3 linked regions of the Arabidopsis thaliana genome follow. Each later gene encodes a partner of the first gene's protein in a complex. Each region holds a gene or a part of one and is shown on either strand. Other genes may lie near its edges.

Region 1 (5,235 bases):
TCCGAAGAATATGGTTATCAACACCGTTAAGGCGTAAAACCAACTTGTCAATGAAATCAACAAAATCAGTACACCCACTTTTGATTAGAAAGAAGAATATATCCGAGAAAACCAGCCACTCTTGCCAGCAATTTGCATCTGCATAGAGAGGGGGAAAAGTAACAGATACCAAATCAATACCAAAGCAATCCTAGTATAATGGTATCTCAACTCTTACTTTTATCTTTTCTATCTAAGCCTAACGAATCAACGATTATAGAACTAGAATAAAACGTAAAGGATGTAGGTTCTTTACAGATTGTGACGACTAGCAAAACCACTTGCTATTTCAAAATAATTTCCACAGATTTAAATGGAAGTGACAGATCAAAGACATGAGAAATAGGGAAAGACAAACATTGCCTGAGTTGGTCAGCTTAAGAAGCTCAACAATTCTGTCAATGATTGCCTCACAAATCATGTCAGAAGTGAATACAGCACCAGGGATAGGCCCTGCTTGTGTAGATGGTCTATAACAAGGGGCCACAACAAGAACACGCTTCCACCAGTCCGGTGACGGTGTAGTGCGAATAGCATGTCTAATGCAACGCACTGCTCTCTCCCAATCCAGGCTTCCTTTTGGAATAGACATCGCCAGATCCTGCCGGTGTCGAAAAAGAAGAAGAGAGGATTGAAATTCACAAATTGTCTGCCTAATGAAAAGCGTATACATTACACAATATCAACAAGAGCCAACTAAGCTATGAAACCAATCTCCACAATTTCATAGGAATCACCTCTCCATATAAAGGTTCCCCAAGCACACTTGGATATGTAATTGGTGAATGTCGTAAGTGTGGCACAGCTTCGGGTGGAACATTGGCAGTTATTTGGGAGACTATACGATGGGTACCAAATGATGGACAGTGAAGATGTTGGTCCAACATGAGCATATGCATGGCCATCGCATCTCGCCTCCGGTGTATCTCCATGATAAGAGTGAACAAGGCTTCATCATCAGGTATGTTCTCTATAAACTGTAGACCACTGCGCAATAACTCATAAAACGGAATTCGAGATTCACCCTCTTCTACCAACAGCCAGATCACATCCAAACAACTCCGCAACCATTCAGCTAAAGTCTTCTCAGATCTCCACGACTTTCCTACAGAGTCCTCAGTTCCCAGATCTCTCCTGTCCCAGTTAACAAGCCAATTCATCATGTACTGGAAAATCTCGGCATGAGTAACGGGTTTGAGACTAGATTCAACGCCAATCAAGATAATCTTGCAACTGAGCTGACGCAGACTGTTTACAGCAGCAGCTCTAATCCGTTGACTATTTCTCATAGCATTCTCTCTTACAATCTGGCCAGCTCTTGCAATCTGCTGCCCATTCTCCACAGATTTCACCTCTGAAGCTGATGGAGAACCAATACCATGAGCTGAAGGCAGCAATGACGTTGGATTCACAGACACAGGAACTACAGACTGCGAAGAAGTAGCAGAAGAACCAGCCGTTGCCGCTGCTGCTTGAACACCTTGGCTTAACGACGCCTCAGCAGCGGAAACGGAAGAGAGAAGGGATGGTAAAAAAGTATCCCAATTGATATAACTAATCCTACACAATGTACGCAAAGCAAAGAGTAGAAACTCAGCACGAGGCGCATGATTGCTACATTGCACCACCAGAGATATCAAAACTGACTCAGTAATCGTCCTCAATTGCTCTGGATCCTAACAAAGAGTTGGAAAAAAAAAAAAAACTTTATCTTACGAAATCACAAAGAGAAAGATAAAGATAGTTAAAAAACGAGACTTTACATTGAATTGGCTCTGAAGCAGCTCAAAATCCAAAAGGAATTGCTCGTTTCTTGGTGGTAAGTCTCTATTAGGAGCATGAACACGCTTCTGTGATTTGTTCCTGATCAAAACAATCAACATGGATAAAATCAAACACAGAAGGAAGAGAAAACAAGAGTTGATTCAGAATCAATAGAAACAACATACGGGGGATCTCGGAGGGACTCATCAGGCTTTTGACGGCTTCCTCTCTGTGATAGAGAAAGCAAAATCAGCAGAGAAACAAAATTCGATGAAAAAAATTGGGAGATTGGAGAAGAGATTAACCAACCCCTAAGTAGAGATTGAAAAGATCGATAATTGCAGCACGAGCTGGGTGGAATTGGTACGATCGAGAAGACGATGGCGTTGCAGCGACTGTTCGCTGCGATTGATCCATTTTTTTTTCTTCTTCACTGATTCTTTTTTTCTTTGATGCTTATAAAACGGAGGAGCAAAATTGGTATTAGAGGTTTTGGGTTTAAAGCTCTTTTGAAGAGAAGAAAATGTCAACAACAACAACAACACAACAACGAAAAAAACAAAATTAGAATTTGAGAAAGAGAAGAACAATATTTTGCATTGTGAAGTTGAAACGATTCACAGTAGAGAAGATGACTTCTAATTACACAATAGGAGCCACAAAGATTTTGTCTTAGGCAGAATTACATTGTGGGATACAAGACAGAGAATTCTAAAAGAAAAGGATTAAATTGAAGATGCTCTGATCATCAACGTTTTATCTCATTTTTGATCTAACGGCTCCACGGCAGTCTTGAAGAGAAGAACGTAAACTTTGTCGATCTGAAAATATAGGAATCCTCCTGTGGAATGAGTCACGTATGAACCAAAGCTTGTTCCAACAATGCAGTGCCATGCCGGGCCGTAGGCTGAATCGAAGTCCTGAAATGGAAGACAGATGGAAAACTGTTTCGTGAATATATAGTTTTAAATCAGCTGCAACATGTCATTAGACAGATGGGAGTCTAAGATTCACTTCAGTGGATAACATAGAAGCTGGATTTAGGAGAAAACATAGAGACAAGAAACATATGAAGATCTATTTCGAGATAAGAGATCTATATTACCAGAACAAGAAGATAAAACAAGACAACAGCAGAAATTGACTCGTATGTCAATCCTAAAAGCCAAAGGGAGGTAGCCATTATTAAGAGATTGATGAACACTGAGACAAACAAGTAAGCTGCACACAGATAAGTGAACACTAAATTGTTTTACTCAACCACTTCATAAAATCAATGTATGGATCAATCAATGCCTCTACCTAGTCGCATAAATTGAGGGAACTGCTCCATTTCGCTCCATAAGTTAAAATCAAAAGCTAATTATCAAAGCCGCTTTAAGAAGGAACAATATCCTCACGAGAAACAACTGCATAAATGGACAACTCTATATATGGGGTGTCGAACCAAGTCCTTTGTAAAAGGTTGTATTCAGGCAAGGCTCACTTCCTAAAGCAAGCATGCTTCAGAGTTATCATTAGGTAGCAACTAATTTCTAACAGCAAAGATACAGAAGCTTAGCAGATGGTGCATGCTATGCCTCATTAGTTATGGCCTAAGACAGCTCCAAAATCATCTCAATAAACAACAAGAACATCCAGTTTCAAGACATTTCACAACGAGACTCCTACTACAGTTATCCTCGCAATACAAAAACAACCTAGTCAAGTAGACTAACCGAAGCTACAAATAGAAAAGACAACAACAATGGAACAAAGTCAAATGCAACCTAACAAATATGGGACCATCCATGAAGTTCAACAATATGCAAGTACACAAACGAAAATCCAAATTCAAGATTCATCACATCTTCAAACCAATCAAGAAAGAGAAGACCATAACCACATTCTACAAAAAGCATGCGACTTTGAGACGTAGCCCTAGAACCCAAAAGCAGCTCAATACTTTTAGATTCTGTGTCAAAATTCAAAACTCAATCCAAGTACTAGACTTCAATGACTCCAATTCAACCCAAATACAGAAAAATCATGAGAGAGATACAAAAGATCTAACCTTTTTTAGGGCATGAGCGAGTCTTTTGTTATCAGCCTTCCCTGGAGTAGCATTCAAAATCTCACGCGACAAACTAAAGGCTCTGTTCTGTTGAGGCAAAGGCATATCTGAAGCCCTAACACGAACATTGAACTCATCTTTCTGATCTTGCTGTTCTTTAGCCTTCTTCTTCTGTATCAAACTGTTCAAGAACTTGCTTCTTCTTTCTAATTCTAGCTCAACTCCTTCCATCTCTATCACATCACTCGTCTAAGCCCCTCGTTTTCACTTTTTCCTCCGTCTAATCGGAGAGAAAAACCAAGCTTAGTGTCTGTCTCCTTGTTAGTTCTTAAGCTGATTCAGAAACGAGCACCATCTGTTTGACAAAATGTCTGAGAGTGAGAAGAGGTAATTGCGTGGAGGAGACAAAATAGCGTTCTTTTGTGTTAAGCGTAAAGCAGCCGACCAAAGTCCAAAAGACAAATTCCTGATTTTTGATTAGTTTGGTCATCAAAATATTAATTACTCTTGTCTCCCCCTTTCTCTCATTATTACTCTTTGTTTTTCCTAACTCCCATATGATTAAAAATTGATTATTGTGTACTCGATTAATTTATACAATTATTTGTTCGTAGATTTAGAGAATCTAGTGAATCTACTAATCGGTAACAATCAACTAAAAATGTTTCACAACAAAAATAGACTTTCATGCTTCGTTCGAGTTCGAGGTGTGAAATCAATAATGGGCCGAGAAATAACCAAGTAGGCCCAAAAGAGGTGCGTTGATATAAGTAGTGGGCTCAGTCAGCTGAAAGTAAGGTCTCGAATCAGGAAAATCGTCGGTGATATTAGGCCCACCAACGACGGCGCCAATTAGCAAATTAGGATTAGGATTATTGCTGAAGAAATAACGAGATCCGTCTTTGCACCCTATACGATCAGGATGGTCCACAACTGAAGGAACCGAGCTGCCACGATGATGAATCTTCTGTGGAAACCTCGAACCATACCCAACCATGTACGACATTTTCATTGGATTATCTCCTAGTATGTAGTCCACCTATGTTAACGTACGCCACCAAACACTTACGTTAATGAATCTCTCTATTATGCTAAAACAGAGGAATGTTGGTTAGTTTAGTTACCTGACGCTTGGCGACTTGACGGAGAAGAGCAGGAGAAGCTGTAAATTCGCCACATGGCACCACCTTATTTGCGTGGCTTAGGTAATTAGAGTATGTTAGTAACAAAAAAGACAAAGATGTTACATGTTGCATATTACTTCCTCCACTCTTCACTAATAATCCTCCTTGTGAGTATTGGACTTGAGGGTGAGAAATTCCAGGCAATAAAGAACAGATAAACTCATCAGCGTTTTGCTTAAAACTCTGAAAATACTC
Region 2 (5,235 bases), on another chromosome or scaffold:
ACAGCTTCCCTATACCTTCCGCTATTAGCAAACGCTGATATCAACGAAGTATAAGAGTAGACATCAAGCGAAAACCCGTCTTCCTGCAAACCATTGAACATATTTGCAGCGGAAGATACTCTGCCTTCTTTACCTAGCATACTGATGATTATAGCAACAACAGAGTTATCCAACATGGATTGATAATCCTTTTGCTTCATAAACCAATCAAAAGCACGCAGAGCCAAATCGAATTTCTTATGAAATCCTAATCCTTTAAGAAAAGCTAGTAACTCCGACGAGGTAGACTCTGGTTTATCCTTAAAAGGCTCGAATAGCTCAGAGAGTACAGAATCTAATTGACCGGAATCAAAATTGGGTTCGATGAGGGAACGAAGAACTTGCTGACCTTGTGGAGAAAGACCATGGTAAGACCAAGGTTTACCGAGGTTAGGGTCACGTGACTTGCCAATTCGAGTCCGGTTACGGTTTCTAGATGTTTGAGAGCTGATGGGTTGTCTGGAATTAGGGTTCTGGTGAAGGAAAACATCGTGGAGGAGAGGCTCTACAGGCGGAGGAGGTGGTGACGAAAGAGACGTAGTAAGAAAAGGCGTCCGAGAGATATGGTGGTTTTGGTCGTGAGAATAAGGTTTAGAGGAAGGAGTGCAGGGAAGGAGAAGAGGAAGAGCTAGCTTGTCCGCCATTAGAGGTAGTAGTAGTAGTAGAAACTAGAAAAGAACCAGGAGGCAACCGAGAGTGAAAGAAGAAGAGAAATGAATGGATATTTTTGTCAGATTTTTTTTATTATATTTTTTTGTTCCAAGAACACAATTTTAGTTTTATTTCCCTACAATTATATTCGACCACGTGGCTAGTCCAGATTCAACAGGTTAGATCTAAATGGGCTACTACTTATTTTGTCAACCCATTATATTATTAGAAGCCCAAATGGAACAATAAACTGTACAATAAAGAAATGGGCAGAAAGAGCCTCTGATATGTATGTATGACCTAAGAGGGATTTTACTTTGTCGTATAGAGAGATCGATCCAAAATGTCAAGTTGCATAACTCCAATAGTTGAACATTCTGAATTTTACTAATAATTTGAAATTTGAAGCTAAAGAATGATTCTGGAAAAAAGATAACCAATAATTCTGTAAACTGAATTAGAATCCAGGGTTTTCGTAAGAAACAACTTTGATACATCAAAGATACTGATAACGATGAAGCATATACTAACATCTATCCACATAAAGGCACTGCTAAACAAAACGAAACCAAGTAGAAAATCAAACTTGATCAAGAATTAGCAGTAACATTGGTCAAATCATTACCTTACAGAGAACCATCAATCACAATGTTGATTAATCCTCATCATCTGAGCTTGCATCATCGCTGCTGTAATCACTGCTATCATCATCCTCCAAAATGTCAAGTTGAACAGCTCGGACCTGTATGACATCAGGCGGTCTGTGGAGTCCCTGAGAAGGTCTCATATGTTGATGATCCTCTGCTCTAGGTGCAGCAATTGACTCCAGTGGCGGTAACACAACTGGGTCGCCTGGTTTCCATCCAGGAGGTGGCAATGGTAAATCTCTAGGCAATTCGACTGGCATTCCTGGTTTCCATCCTGAAGGAACTGCGATATTCGGCGGAAGCAGGTTGTGAATAGCAGATATATCCATAGCTTCTGGTGGTGGTGGTGGCTCAATCAGTGCTTCAACCTTCTTCTCCATGTTTTCTACTGTTTTCGGCAGACCGATATCAAGATCAGCGAAAGTGTAGAGCTGGGAAGCTCTCATTTGTTCGTCTTGTGGAGCTGGTGGTAATGCACCACGGAGAGGTGCTTGCCCTGCACCGAATTCCGGCGGAGCAAATGTGGTGTAGCTAATCTTGTGAGCGTAAGCTAATATGTCCTTTAACTTGAGCTGAGACGAAACTGTGGTTGAAGAAGAAGAAGACTCATTATCATTGTCTTCGTCATCTTCTTCAATTTTGCTTCGTTTTGGTTTGCGGTAATCGGAGTAGTCGTCAACAAGCATATCGAGAACACGTTCTGCATCCTTGAGTTTGTTAGCGAAAGCGAGAAGAGATGAATCTTTGGATTTGATCTCACGCGCCACCTTCTGCTTCGCGTCTTGCAGATCGAGGATCTCTTGAAGCTCTGTAACGGCTTCGAAGAGCTGAGTCTGGAGGGAATTGAATTGAGAGAGGATCTCCTTCGTGGATGAAGGACTAGGGTTTTCAAGCGGCGGCGGAGGTGGTAACGAGTGTGAGGAGAGGAACGAAGGGAGAGAGCCACGGAAAGCTGAGAGCCAGATAGCTCGATTGGGAGAGACGTCGAAGAGCTTAGATGTCAAAACCGCCATCTGCTGGAGAAGAGCTTGAGCTCGCGGTAATGGAGGAAGGAGCGATAGCAAGGCGGAGGATGAAACAGCCGCCGAAGCTGAGGCTGAGGAAGCGGCGGCGACGGTGGAGGAAGGAAGTAGATTAGGCTGTTGTTGGATCTGTTGGTGCTGAGATTGGGAAGATGAAGAAGAGGTTGGATGGCCATGACGAGTAGGCGTCGGATTTTGTACGGAAGGAGAGCCAGGACCTGTTAACCCTAATCTCGCCGGAGATTGTACGATCTGATGCTGTAGCATCTTCGCCGACGGCGAAAGAATCTCTTAAATCGAAGATAATTAAAGAGACGAAGCTTCTCTTCTCTGTTTAGTGTTCAACTGTTTATACAAAATTCGCAAACCCTCAGTATCAATTAGAAAAGTCTAAAGACCCGCTAAAACCATACCGATACGGTTCAATTTCCTAATTACCATTAACCTGGCTTTCGAACAATTGTTATTGACAATAACAGAGACGAATCATGGACGTTAACGCTTGATACAAGTGCAATACAACAGAGTTATGTATCTCACTTCCGAGTTAAGTAACAATTTGCTACTGTGTTACATAGCTTTTGGTTAAACAGATAACCAGAAAATAACCAATCAGAGAACGAGGTAAAGAAACTTACATATTACAAAAGGCATGAAAAAATAATTATCAAAAAGAAGATACAATTGGTAACCATTTTCTACACACACATACATATATCTACCATTCACACGACTGGTTCTGACCGAAACTGCATATGTTCCTCTTGTTTGTGACGACGACTCAGTTATGTTCTCCTCAGACAACAACCGTAGAATGCATCTGACACAATCCACCATATACAGAGATCAATAGCAATTTGGTAGACCGTAAGAGCAATATTCTTAAGACCTTAAGGGTAGTGTAATCAGAATAATAGCAGCAACGCTGAGAATATAACAGTTATGATCTACAGATCATTCTTATTATGACGTTCGATCATGTGAGACAATAACTACAGTAACAAATGAGAAACATTAAGGTGAAAACCTTAGTGAACTGTGGTGTTAGGTTTCGATATAATCTATTAAGTCAATGCGAACGTTCTTATTATAGTGTTTTATATTGGTGTCGGAGGGATGCGGTATAACACCAAACTTACTTGATAGCTGGTAGAGAGTTGTTGCGAGCAAGAAGTCGTCAAGAAGATATATAACTTGTTGAGTGCACAAACAGCTAAGAGCTTAAGTGTTCATGACCTTCCTCTGCAGCATCAACATATTCAGACTAAATTATGGTTAGATTATATCTCATAGAGCACAACAATCCTCATTTAATCATTGGAACGGTTAAAAACATAACACACTAAAGGCGAACTAGTCTTAATTTCTATAGTTAAACTTCAAGGCAGATAGTAAGTAGGTTTGTTAGCTGTTAGAGACTTTTTCTCACTCATTCTTATCACGAAAAGACAAATGTGCCTCACATACTCAACGAGCACAGAAGTAATGATAAAATTATAACTTACAGTAGGTTCAAAGTCAGGGTTTGACAAGTTCACTGTGAGGTTTCTCATCAACAGCAAAACCTGCAAGAAAAACTGTGATTAGTGACGGATACTAGGAAAAAGAACAATCACTGACAGCTACAAATAGGTACCATGACACCTAAAACTGACTCATGGTTGTAACAATCCCATTATTTGACCAACATCTCCATAGAATCATGGTACTTTGGCTTTTTGGTGTTTCCAACTCGTGAATCTATATATTGCAAGTACTGATCTTTATATTTATCTTCTCACACAGCTGAATTTATTCGGGAACTCAAAGAAGAAGACTAAATGATTGATATGCTGCAACACACATATCAGTTAATCTAAAGGCAAGTAAAGCTCCAACTCACAGTTTCGAAATTTATAGGATCCATTTCCTTGAGCTTTTTCATGCGGCCTTTGCTGTCAGGATCGAACACACTCCCAATGAAGTTATAAACCTCAGCAAAATCAGGAAGACCTGCAAAGCAACCATTACAACAGCGTCCACCACAAAATGAAAACTAAGAAATAGTCCCTCAATTGTTCAGATAATTACCATGCATTGAGGGAGCTTGTTTCGCCAGTCTCAAACCCTTAGAATCTGATAGTGTTCTGCTTGAGCTTCCGATACCAGATGCTGAAGGACTAGTTTCACTTATCATGTCATTTGATCCAACATCAACTGAAACAATGATATGTAAGCCGCATTTAGCATATGAAAACTTCAGAAGATAGAGTGACTAGACTACCAAAGCAAAATATAAAAACTGAGTACAGATGAGAACGCATGCCTTCTGCTCCACAAAGAGTATCAAGTTCATCTTCTGGTGGAATAACCCCACTTACAGCAATGTTTAACAATGCAGATGTATCATCATCCCATGGAGTATATCCAGGCAGGTTATTTATTTGAGTAGGAAAGGACATGGAAACGTGAAGCGACATTTGAGCTGCAGATTTGAGTTGAAATCAGATTGATTACATGTTACTCCATCTGTCAACCCAAAGTAATATCTATTACAATAGAACTAACCATTTTTCGATGCCTTTTGAGGATATGGATGAGCAGCTTTGCGCTTAGGCCTAGGGGGTGGAACATGTGCTAAAGTCCCATTTTTTTGGACCTTTAGAAAGTATTTTTGGGCATGGCTCCTGATCTGCAGTAAATCAAACAGGCACAGGATGATTGAGTGGGGAAATGTGCCAAGGTTGTATATTAAACCAAAAATCCAAAGAAGCTGATCTCAAACCTGAATAACTGTCTTTGAACCAACAAAATCTTCTATCTTTTTCCAGTCACGATCAAACCTAAGGACACGAGAAAATTGTCAGGACAAAGTAAGATTCTTTTTTCTAAAAGAG
Region 3 (5,220 bases), on another chromosome or scaffold:
GTGTACCAGCTTAGGATTAAAGATGTTCCTAATGGTCACAGAACCCATGAGAGACTGATTAGATCCCTCGCTATTTGGACGTCCCAAATTACAGTTCCCTGTTACCTCGAAAAAATCCTAATAATGCAAGATAATCAAACGAAGGACATAGTAAATTCAATAGAAAACTCTTATAACATAAAAAAGTTGCCAAGTTTAGTAGAAGACAATACATACCAAAGAAGGATCAAGACCCCACTTTTCTACTCTCTGATCTGTCTCATTAAGCTTGATCTCAAAAACAATACCATTATCTTTCTCATCTGCATGTGGTATGACTAAGGACTTAATCTTCCTCACAGCTTCCTTCACAGCTTCCATCACAATAACCTGAACAACAAAGAAGAAATCCATTAATACACACTAGAATAACTTAAGGTTCATTTCTCAGAGGAATTTCATCAAACACTTGGCAGACATCAAATTCTATTTTACAATTCTACTCAAATAGAAACTCTGTTAAAAGCCAAATCCTAAGCTAAACTCAAAGCAACGAAAGCAAAATTCTGAAATCTACTACTACAACGTGAACGAATCAACAAGGCAACACCAAAAAATCCACTGACTCAGATACAAATTTCAGTCTGGAATCGTAATCAAACACATGTTTAAAACCAAAATCCAAAGAAAAATAGCTCTCTGTAGTGATTTTGGTAGTTGATTTTGATCTTATCGCTTGTTCTTTGCGATTCAAGTTTTGAAATCAGTACAAAGAAAGAACACGAGAGAAACAAGCGATTTATGTACAATTTCTCGAAGATCAAACTCGATAATGCTTCACTCTCAAGAGGAATTAACAAAATTTCAGGTTACAGAAGAAGAGATTCAAAGCTACGTACCTACACGAGTCTTCTAGAGGTTGACGAAGAAGACGAAGAAGAAGAAGAATCTAGATCTGTCTCTCTCTCTACTCGATTTCTTCAAACTTGTAGCTCTCACACTTCTTTCTCTCTATATTGTTTGTTACTACCGGTAAGCTCTGTTTGGAAGAAAACATGCAATCGCAACCGCCAAAACTTCTTTGCGTTTTGATTCTGCATTTGGGATTCTTCTCATTTATGGGCCTTAAGCCCAACTCAATGACTGACCCAAATAACTAACACTAAGCCCAATCGTAATCCAACATTTTCGCTTTATTTATGCATTTTATAGACACAAGTGACCAGTAATTGAGTTTAGGGTCAAAAGATTCATAAAGTTTTCACAGTCATAAAACAAACCAAAAAGTTGGTAAGAAACTGAATTCACAATCTGCTCCAATCTCAAGTTTACAAATTGGTCTTCCAACTTTTTAAAACTACCATTTGTTTTTCAATCCTTAATGACTTCTAAAATCAATGATACCACAAAAACTCATAAAAGTCTTTGTTGTATTATCTTTAGCCTCTCCCAGCTTGAATTGCTGCCATCAAATTAGCCATGAAGAAAGCATATCCAACAGCGGTATGTTGCGGAGTGTAGTTGTCTCCAAGTCCAAACTTTTCAAAGTTGAGTTCTTTGTTCACAAACTTACCCGGCAACGACCTTTTCGACATAGCTTCTTGCCATATCTCCAAGAACTCCTCCATCAATTTTTTTGCCATTCCCATTGATGATATAGGAAGATACTCCACCTAAATAGTACACACACATAATTATAGGTTTCAAATGAAAGTAGTGCATAATAGCATAATGGCATAAGTTGATAGCACTAAAAATTCGTATAATGAAAACTTGTTGCATGGAAAACCGTAGATTATGCAAATTTTCTTAATTGACAAATTTTCTGCCTAATCACATTAGAAACCGTCATTATGTGTGTTACCAATCATAGCTAATAACCTTTAGTTACTGAGTTACATTACAAACTCCAAATTATGAATTAACTAGAGTGTTAGATAATCATTAACATTGATTATTAATATATCTCAACGTACTCAAAAGATATAAAATTTGTTACCTCCATGACTACGCCTCTAATGGTCTCAGCATGAGTAGGAACAACTTTACCAACTCTCAAACGAAAATCCCCAAGTTGATACTCAAGCCCTTCAAAGTAAAACGAGAGTTTGCATTTGTAAGACTGAAGGCTCTCCATGATCATTTGAATTGAAGAATCTGCTTCCACGACGATCCTTTGCGACCTGATGACGAAATAGTACTTATCTGGCTCCTCCGGAAGCGAAATTCCTACAAATTCACGCGGGAACTCAGCTTGATTCGCCTGATCTTGCAACATGGGTTTGTAATAGTTGAGAGTGGCTTTCCATGTTCCCTCTTTGACGCCATTGAGACTCTCTATGCTTTGTGTTACTTCGTTTAGGATTTGGCTGCTAAATGTTGATCCCTGATTTGGTTGCCAATGCAAAAGCCTGGAAAAGTATTCCCCCAAAGAAATTTGAAAAAAGGTTAACGTATTATAAAAGAAATTACAATAATGGTTATTTAGTTTATGTAATCATCAAACCTACCATTTGACGGGCATGGCTAATGGAGGTACAACAAATTTCACTTGACAACAAAATTAAAAAAAAATGATCTCTATTAATTTACAATAATACACAAACAATAATATCTTATATAATATAGTTGTATTCAGATATATAATTTACCAAAAAACAAAATGATAAAACTTTACAATAAAGCAAAAAATTATTTAATCAAAAAATACTTTTTGATAGAATTTCAATCAGTGTTCATAAGGAAAATACATTTAAATGCTCAAATGGAGTTCATTTTTTTAATCATTTCTTTCATTTGAAATAGAACGTGGTCTATATGGAAAGGAAAATTTATTTTTAAAAGTAATTTACAGACCAAAAATAATACATATGCATCAACTTTGGAATCATAATACAAATTTCATTTTTTAATAAATAATTATAACATAGAGAATAATTAGATATTTTAGTGCATGTGCACAATTACATAAGTGTACTCACCCTTATCAAGATAAAAGGGAAGAAAATATAAATTCTTATAAGAAAAAAATAAAGTAACTTTTGACTTTAAATAAAAAGGAAACAAATCTAAGAAATTAATGTTATAATTAAATTATTTACCAAAATTAATTGAAAAATAAGAAACATTTTTTTACAAAAACTAAAGAAATTCATTAGATCTGCTATGAGTATCCGTTTGGGATCACACGTTCTGTGATAGTAGTAGATCGACAACAGATTAACTAAACGAATCAAATATGAAATATATCACTTCTTGAATACAATCTAAATATAAAATTCATACATCTCGGATAAACAACTCAATTCTGCTTCTAAGTATATTTAGTTTATAAAACGATGCTTTTTATCTTTATCTTATCTAAATCATTTTAAAAAGATGAGTTGAAGGCATAGTAAAGACTTTTAGGCTTAATAATCATCGAGCCATAAAAACAAAATACAAGATTAGATTGCGAGAAACACTTACCGATGAAAGAGATTTCTGGTGATGATCTTCTTGGGAATACGTAGTATAACGAAAAATTAAGACTCGTACACTGCATTATATAGAGAAAAGCATAGGAGTTTGTTTGTTTTACTAAGATAAAACGACCTCGTTTAAACTACCTCATTTAAAACGACTTCGTGTAAAATTATGTGTTTCTTAAAATGACCTTGTTTTTAAAAAGGTTTTCTTAGGAAATGAGTGGTGAAAACATGAATGAATCTAACCGAACTTATCCAAATTCGAATAATACTAATAGTTTAAAATCTTATAAATAGAATTATTGGAACTGAACCTTAAATCAAATTTAAATTTTATGAAACTGAACAAAATTAACTGAACGAATCAAAATTCCTAATGTATATATCTCATCTAATCATCTAAATAAAAATAAAGGTTTGATTCATGTTTCTTCTCATCTTTCGTTCATTTTTTATGCATAGTCATGAAACATTAAGGTTTCATTCCACCCAATGATATAATTTTTTTTTATCCTAGTACACTCAAAAAATGAAAAATTTATATAGAAATAAATTGGAAATTGATACAATTATATAATTGAATGATACGCTTTTGCTTAATACTAGTCAAGATGAAAAAATAAAAATAAACCAATAAAAAAAATTGAGCTGAAAATAGAGGAAAAATAATTACTTAGTTGATAATTATTTGTTTGATATAATGACATTAAATTGTAATTTTAGGTAATCACTTTTTGTTGATATTTAAAATACGTTTTTAAACAAAAACAAAACCGAAATAAAAAACCAACTCGAACAAAAACCGAATTGTGTCAAACCGAACAGAGAAAAAAAAAAGTTTTCCACAAGTAAAACCGACAAAATAAACCAAACCGGATCCCAAAAACCATAACCAAAAAATTGCATTAGGAGCCAAATATTTCCGCCACTTAAAACATGCCACGTAGGCACGAATCGATCGATGCAATAACTTTTGTAACGGCTACAAACTTCTGATTTCATTTTTGAAATTCTTCTCTTCCGTCTCTTTTACTAATTCCCCTTTCTTCTTCTTCCTATTGAAACCCTAAATTCTCTTCTTGAAATCCAAATCTTGTTTCAAGAGTAAACCATGCGGAGCGAGAGAATTGATTCAGATGAAGCAGAAACAAAATCGAGAACAAATCTCTCGCAAGAAGTCGAAGAATATATCAAAGATACAATTGATCATTCTTTAGGTCTTCCGATCTCCATGGAATCTCTTCAGAAGAAGCTTTATACGGCTGAAGAATCTCAACGCCGTCTTCGCGAACAGTATCAGGGTCTGATTTCGCGATTAAAGGAGAAAGATCATGTAATCGATCGTGTTAGGGTTAGTAATTTCTTTCTGGGTATCTTTCGTTTTCTGGGATTTGATTGATTTGAATCTGAATCTTTTTTTTTTTTTTTTTTTTTATAAGTCTGAAGCGAGTATGAATGCGCAAGCGTTGAAGAAGTTTGTTGAAGAGAATCAGAAATTGGCTAGTGAGTGTGGGAATTTGTTGAGTCAGTGTAAGAAATTGGAGAAAGAGTGTTTGCTTTATCATCAAGATCGTGATGCGTTGATGGAGTTTGGGAATGAATCTGATGAGAGAGCTAGAGAAGCAGAAGCTAGGGTTCGTGAATTGGAGGATGAAATTGGAAGAATGTCTGAGGAAATGCAGAGATTTAAGCGTCAAATCGGAGATGGTGAAGTAAGAGTTTCTTCATATTAACCCTAAATTTTCTTTAATTGGGTTAAGTTGGGTTTAGAATT

The links.
Region 2: AT1G23230 (region 1) and AT5G02850 share a complex: the UniProt entries of both Arabidopsis thaliana proteins name them as parts of the mediator complex.
Region 3: AT1G23230 (region 1) and AT4G09070 share a complex: the UniProt entries of both Arabidopsis thaliana proteins name them as parts of the mediator complex.

The regions. Positions count from the first base shown.
Region 1 is NC_003070.9:8,241,466-8,246,700, reverse strand, and holds the start of AT1G23230 (mediator of RNA polymerase II transcription subunit), read right to left. Parts: upstream 2,262-5,235; 5' UTR 2,221-2,261; coding exon 2,113-2,220; intron 2,033-2,112; coding exon 1,989-2,032; intron 1,903-1,988; coding exon 1,803-1,902; intron 1,716-1,802; coding exon 777-1,715; intron 641-776; coding exon 398-640; intron 191-397; coding exon 1-190. Other genes in the region: AT1G23220 (Dynein light chain type 1 family protein), read right to left, coding at 2,565-2,723, 3,857-4,087; GH9B6 (glycosyl hydrolase 9B6), read right to left, coding at 4,572-4,895, 4,981-5,235. UniProt on the Arabidopsis thaliana protein: Component of the Mediator complex, a coactivator involved in the regulated transcription of nearly all RNA polymerase II-dependent genes.
Region 2 is NC_003076.8:649,550-654,784, reverse strand, and holds AT5G02850 (hydroxyproline-rich glycoprotein family protein), read right to left. Parts: upstream 2,738-5,235; 5' UTR 2,627-2,737; coding exon 1,346-2,626; 3' UTR 1,022-1,345; downstream 1-1,021. Other genes in the region: AT5G02860 (Pentatricopeptide repeat (PPR) superfamily protein), read right to left, coding at 1-683; LCL1 (LHY/CCA1-like 1), read right to left, coding at 3,573-3,623, 3,865-3,924, 4,242-4,351, 4,430-4,555, 4,665-4,823, 4,907-5,030, 5,124-5,181. UniProt on the Arabidopsis thaliana protein: Component of the Mediator complex, a coactivator involved in the regulated transcription of nearly all RNA polymerase II-dependent genes.
Region 3 is NC_003075.7:5,799,591-5,804,810, reverse strand, and holds AT4G09070 (TATA-binding related factor (TRF) of subunit 20 of Mediator complex), read right to left. Parts: upstream 2,504-5,220; coding exon 2,490-2,503; intron 2,391-2,489; coding exon 1,979-2,390; intron 1,653-1,978; coding exon 1,419-1,652; downstream 1-1,418. Other genes in the region: TOC75-IV (Outer membrane OMP85 family protein), read right to left, coding at 7-117, 217-393; AT4G09060 (uncharacterized protein), read left to right, coding at 4,558-4,797, 4,886-5,158. UniProt on the Arabidopsis thaliana protein: Component of the Mediator complex, a coactivator involved in the regulated transcription of nearly all RNA polymerase II-dependent genes.